2 linked regions of the Macaca fascicularis genome follow. The protein of the gene in region 1 binds, or shares a complex with, the protein of each later gene. Links are inferred from orthologs where the notes say so. Each region holds a gene or a part of one and is shown on either strand. Other genes may lie near its edges.

Region 1 (3,656 bases):
CTGCCTCAGCCTCCTGAGTAGCTGGGACTACAGGCGTGCACCACCACGCCTGGCTATTTTTTGTATTTTTAGTAGAGATGGAGTTTCACCATATTGACCAGGCTGGTGTCAAACTCCTGACCTCGTGATCTGCCTGCCTTGGCCTCCCAAAGTGCTGGGATTATAGGCGTGAGCCACCGCGCCCAGCCTCTACGCCAGAGATTTTAAAGGATAGCAGTGATAATGGTCAGAACCGCTTCCACTGCCCTGCCTTGGTTTGCTGCTGCTGCCATTCAGGATGTGGTCCAAAAGGACTGGGGTGATGGAGACAGCCGGCCACAGCAGGGCAGCAGGATCCTGGACTGGAAATCTCTTGGTGGAATTATCCTGGAGTCCAGCGGGACTCCTTATCTGATGCCATCTGTGCTTCCGCGGTGAAGATGGCATGTAAGTGGTGGGACTGAAGCCTGCTTCTCAGGAAAGCACTCTTGCATTTGGGTCCCAGTCTGAAAACGCTCCCAGTGGACATGTTATATCCCCTTCCCTGGGATAACCATGTCCTGGCCTCACCTTGGATGTTGAGCTGGATGATCTGCTGAGTTCGGTACAGAGAGGTGGTGATCTGACAAACGTAGGTCCCCTCGTCCTGTATAGTGAGGCTGGGCAGGGTGAGGGAGGCATCCCTGGCCATGCCCAGCTGCTCAGGCTCCAGTGTAGCGCCCTTCCGCACAGCCTGCCCCTGCCCTGTGGTCCAGCTGTACACCAGCTGACCCCTGCCCTTGTGCTGCAGCCGCCACTCCACACTGATGAGGTCCAAGCCTGGTGCCATGGAGAAGCCACAGTCCAAGGAGGCTGAGGACCCCAGCAGGAAGGTCAGGGATTGGGTCTGTGTCGTCACCTGGAACTCCACTGTGAAGAGGAAAACAGGGGTGATTTGTGGGCTACTTCCTCCTTGAGGTCACCTGATCTCCAAGCTGTGGGCATGTTGTGTGGCATACACCTGCCTCTTCTTCCGTGCCTGACAGGCCAGATGAGCTTATTTTCCATCACACGGAACCACAAAGAAATGGGGCTCTGGAAAGGCAGCATGGTGCGCATGATGGCCATCACCATTTTGGGATCACTTACCCTAGGATAATTTAGTGAAAGCTATAGATCTCTCACCAGGAAAAATACACATACAAAATTAAGAGTTACCATCAATCTTCAGGTAAGTACTACTAGAGTAGCAGAAAAAGCTCTGAAACCCTGGTGTTCCACTTACTGGCTCTGTGACCTTTGACAAGTCACTTGGTGTTACCAAGCTCACCTACTTAAGCAAGGATGCTGTGAAGACTAGGAACAAGAGTTTAAAAAGCACGCGGTGGCTGGGCGCGGTGGCTCACGCCTGTAATCCCAGCACTTTGGGAGGCCAAGGTGGGTGGATCACCTGAGGTCAGGAGTTTGAGACCAGCCTGGCCAACATGGTAAAACCCTGTCTCTACTAAAAATACAAAAATTAGCCGGGCATCATGGCAGGTGCCTGTAATTTCAGCTACTCAAGAGGCTGAGGCAGGAGAATTGCTTGAATCTGGGAGGTGGAGGTTGCAGTGAGCCGAGATTGCACCATTGCATTCCAGCCTGGGTGACAAGAGTGAAACTCCATCTCAAAAAAATGTAAAAAAAAAAAAAAGTATGAGTTATTAGGAAGCTGAGGTGGGTGGATCACCTAAGGCCAGGAGTTCCAGAACAACCTTACCAACATAGAGAAACACCGTATCTACTAATAATACAAAAATTAGCTGGGTGTGGTGGCACATGCATGTAATCCCAGCTACTTGGGCGGCTCAGGCAGGAGAATCACTTGAACCCAGGAGGTGGAGGTTGCGGTGAGCCAAGATCGAGCCATTGCACTCCTGCCTGGGCAATAAGCGAAACTCCATCTCGATTAAAAAAAAAAAAAAAACATGTGGTAGTAGTATCTGTGCCAAACATGCTTAACCTAAATCCAGTCATGAGGAAAACAATCAGACAAATCTAAATGGTGGGATACTCTACAAGACCACTAGCCTGGACCCTTCAAAAATGTCAATTCTGTGAAAGATGTTCTAGATTAAAATAGGGAACAGCACAACTAAATGCACTGCATGATTCTTGTTTGAATTGTGTACTTAGAAAAAGAAAGCAGTAAAAAAACATATTGGGACAAGTGGAGAAATTTGAATTTGGAGACATTTAATTATTATTATTATTAATTTTTTTTTTTTTTTTTTTTTTTTTTTTTTGAGACGGAGTCTCGCTCTGTCACCCGGGCTGGAGTGCAGTGGCCGGATCTCAGCTCACTGCAAGCTCCGCCTCCTGGGTTTACGCCATTCTCCTGCCTCAGCCTCCCGAGTAGCTGGGACTACAGGTGCCCGCCACCTCGCCCAGCTAGTTTTTTGTATTTTTTTAGTAGAGACGGGGTTTCCCCATGTTAGCCAGGATGGTCTCGATCTCCTGACCTCGTGATCCGCCCGCCTCGGCCTCCCAAAGTGCTGGGATTACAGGCTTGAGCCACCGCGCCCGGCCTTTAATTATTTTTTTAAGAGAAGGGTCTCAGGCTGGGCACAGTGGCTCACGCCTGTAATCCCAACACTTTGGAAGGCCGAGGTGGGTGGATCACCTGAGATTAGGAGTTCAAGACCAGCCTGGCCAATATGGTGAAACCCATCTCTACTAAAAATACAAAAATTAGCTGGTGTAGTGGTGTGCGTCTGTAATCCTAGCTACTTGGGAGACTGAGGCACAAGAATCACTTGAACCTGGGAGGCAGAGGTTGCAGTGAGCCGAGATCGCGCCACTGCACTCCAGCCTGGGAGACAGAATGAGACTCTGTTAAAAAAAAAAAAAAAAGAGAGAGAGAGAGAGAGAGACAGGATCTCGCTATGTTGCCCAGGCAGGACTCAAACTCCTGGGCTCAAGCAATTGTCCTGCCTCAGCCTCCTGAGTAGCTGGACTACAGGTGTGCATCACCATGCCCTGAACTTTATAGTTGAGACTATCATTGTATCAATTAAAAAGTATCTAAAAGGATGAAGATCCGTGGCATACTAGGCAGTGGTGTCGGGGGATAGGGACAGTCTGCCCTGGCAGGGAGGAGTATTTTATCACTGATAATATTCAGAATTGTCAATGTCAGGAGATGGTGAGACTATAAAGCCATCTGACTTTTAGCCAATTTTATTATTGTTCTGAAATATTTTACACTCTGCACTCCCTTATTGCCTGCACCATGGGTAGACTACTCCCCCACTTTGGTTTGTTTCTGACATGATGGTTTTGTAACTATGAAGGATTACGTCCTTGTCCTTCGCTGTAAACTAATACATGCTATGGATGGGAGCATTTGGGGTTCAAGTGTTGCCTTCTGCAACTTACTCTCAGTTCAGAGGAAAATACACACATACACATATACACACACGGGGAGTCAGGGGGAGAGAGAATGTGGCAAATTGGTGACAATTGGTGGATCTAGGTGTAGGATATGTAGGTGTTCATTATATTATAATTTCACCTTTTTTTGTAGGTTTGGAATAAAAAGAGAAATATCTACCCATGCCAGGAGTGTGGTAGACACTGGACAGCTGCGAGGACCTTTTCTTTCTAATGTGGCAGATGAGATTTAGGTTGGACCACAGAGAGGTTAGAGTGTTTTAGGG
Region 2 (2,446 bases), on another chromosome or scaffold:
AATCTCCAGTCCATTACTGACTTACTTATAGGGAACAGTCACTTACACGTTTTGTGGGTCAGTTTTCCTTGACACATAAAGGTATTTCAAAGGTTACTAGTAAACAACCCCAGCACACTTTCCAAACAGTCAAAGCTGTATGACTTTCCCCCCTTAGAGGATGGAGCATGGCCCAACTCCACATTCTTCACTACCTATCACCTTGCCATTGTGGCAGGTACACATAAATAAGTTTGTTGTTGATGAACCTGAGTTCTGGGTCATTCTTAGCTTTAGAAGTTTTCTGCAATAAAGAAAAATTAGGAAAGCCAGTTGCCAAGTTCTAATATTATACGCTTAGTACATAAGGCGCTTTGATTTAACTTTAGCTTCTTTTTCCTAGAGCCCCCACTGGTCAGAGTGAATCGCAAAGAAACTTTCCCAGGGGTTACAACTCTCTTCTGCAAAGCTTATAGCTTTTACCCCCCAGAAATTTACATGACATGGATGAAAAACGGCGAAGAAATTGTCCAAGAAATGGATTATGGAGACATTCTTCCCAGTGGGGATGGAACCTATCAGACGTGGGCATCAGTTGAGCTTGATCCTAAGAGCAGCAACCTTTACTCCTGCCATGTGGAGCACTGCGGTGTCCATATGGTTCTTCAGGTCCCCCAGGGTAAGGATGGGGATCGTGGCTGTCTGGGGAGAGCCTAGAGAAAGGGGAGAGCAGGAAGCCATGCTCCCTGCCAGGGAGGGGAGGGGAGGATAGATCACTGCCTCACCCAGTGTGCCTTAGAATGGGTCTTTTAAATAAGTGGTTCTCACACTTTTTAGAACCAGGACGCCTTCACACTATTAAAAAAATTATTGAGGACCCCAAAGAACTTTTGTTGATGTGGGTTTTATAGCTATTGCTATTTACCACATTACAAATTAAAGATTTAAAAATTAAACACGAACGGGAGCAGTGGCTCACACCTGTGATCCCAGCACTATGGGAGGCTGAGGCAGGTGGATCACTTTAGGTCAGGAGTTTGAGACCAGCCTGGCCAACATGGTGAAACCCCATCTTTACTAAAAATACAAAAATTAACCAGGCGTGGTGGTGCACACCTGTAATCCCAGCTACTCCGGAGGCTGAGGCAGGAGAATTGCTTGAACCTGGGAGGTGGAGATTGCAGTGAGCCGAGATCGCACCACTGTACTCCAGCCTGTGTGAAGGGAGCGAGACTCCATCTCAAAAAAAAAAAAAAAAAATCAAACACAATCCAGGCACAGTGGCTCACTCCTGGGCATGATGGCATGCACCTGTAGTCCCAGCTACTCAGGAGGCTAAGGTGGGAGGATCGCTTGAGCCCAGGAGGTCAAGGCTGCAGTGAGCTGTAATGGCACCACTGCACTTCCACCTGAACGACAGAGTGAGACCCTGTCTCAAAAAAAAAAAAAAATTAACACAAGAAAACACAAGCACATATTCCATTAGCAGTCAGATTGATGAGTGAGAAGCAACAGTAAGGAAAATGGTGTTGGGTTTCCTGATGATCACAGGGACAAAAGTCCCAGAAAGTTAACACAGAAGGGACTTGTGAATTTTTTCTTATTTGCTTGCTTTCAGAATCAGAAACCATCCCTCTCGTAATGAAAGCTGTCTCTGGGTCCATTATCCTTGTCATTGTGCTGGCTGGAGTTGGTGTTCTAGTCTGGAGAAGAAGGCCCCGAGGTGAGAGGCACATGGAAGGGACGCAGGGGACTGCAGACTCTCCTGCGCCTCTCCAGAGTTTTATTTTCTGCACCTGCTGCTCCATGCTCCATTCAGAAATGGCTTGGCTGTCAGGCTGGGATCACAGAAGGATCCGGGACAACCCTCCCGCCACATAGGGGACACAAAGCATGGATAAAGCTTGCAGGGAGAGTGGTCTCTTTTCATAGGTGATGCCTGACATCAACAAAATAGTACAACATCTGTCCAGGGGAACTGCCCCCTAGAAGTTGGGTCAGAGAAGATATGGGGATCCTGATTTGTCTTTTTCCAAACCATCTTTTTATTATTAATTACTATTGACTTCTGAGGCAGTGCCCTTTGTTTCAAGACTTCAGTCAGTTTTCCCATTTTGACCACCATTCTTTCATCCCAAGCATATGAAAGTCCTTTTCCTTGTAAATTCATTTTTCAAAACATTAAATGTGTAAGAGTAGATACCTTCAGATAATGGGACTTAGAGTAAGGAAAAGAGGAGGAGAAGTAGGAGGTATATAGGCTCTTGATAATGTGGAATAACATAAATTCATTCAATAAGTATACATTATTGACCTACTGTGCTCCAGGCACTGTACTGGTTGCTGGGATATAACAATGAACAAGACAGACAGGATCCGTGTTGTCATAGAGCTTACAACAGAGCCTGGTAAGGTTATCTCCTGCCTCTGGCTTCACTAATTGCTCAGATTGATCACAGGATAGTAC

What was found. Proteins that work in one complex are often made in the same cells at the same time.
Region 2: the proteins of TAPBPL (region 1) and major histocompatibility complex class I-related gene protein are in contact, whole or in part, in an NMR structure (PDB 7RNO), measured with the Homo sapiens proteins. The link is inferred for Macaca fascicularis from reciprocal best matches to the Homo sapiens genes TAPBPL and MR1. Residues at the interface, in NP_060479.3 of Homo sapiens: His47, Arg48, Gly49, Ala50, Ala52, Ser53, Ser54, Leu129, Met131, Thr132, Glu133, Thr135, Arg228, Gln230, Lys232, Gly233, Arg234, Gly235, Thr280, Ile282, Gln293, Ile295, Gln297, Arg307, Leu308, Ser309, Ile320, Cys321, Asp322, Leu355; in NP_001372090.1 of Homo sapiens: Arg101, Arg104, His105, Asn107, Thr129, Gly130, Phe131, Leu132, Gln133, Ile143, Phe144, Asn145, Asp147, Thr148, Leu152, Ala153, Val154, His159, Thr160, Lys162, Gln163, Ala164, Ala167, Asn168, Gln169, His170, Thr213, Phe214, Pro215, Asp248.

The regions. Positions count from the first base shown.
Region 1 is NC_088385.1:7,380,148-7,383,803, reverse strand, and holds part of TAPBPL (tapasin-related protein), read right to left. Parts: intron 889-3,656; coding exon 550-888; intron 1-549. UniProt on the Homo sapiens protein: Component of the antigen processing and presentation pathway, which binds to MHC class I coupled with beta2-microglobulin/B2M. Association between TAPBPR and MHC class I occurs in the absence of a functional peptide-loading complex (PLC).
Region 2 is NC_088375.1:38,540,575-38,543,020, forward strand, and holds part of major histocompatibility complex class I-related gene protein, read left to right. Parts: intron 1-382; coding exon 383-658; intron 659-1,597; coding exon 1,598-1,702; intron 1,703-2,446. UniProt on the Homo sapiens protein: Antigen-presenting molecule specialized in displaying microbial pyrimidine-based metabolites to alpha-beta T cell receptors (TCR) on innate-type mucosal-associated invariant T (MAIT) cells.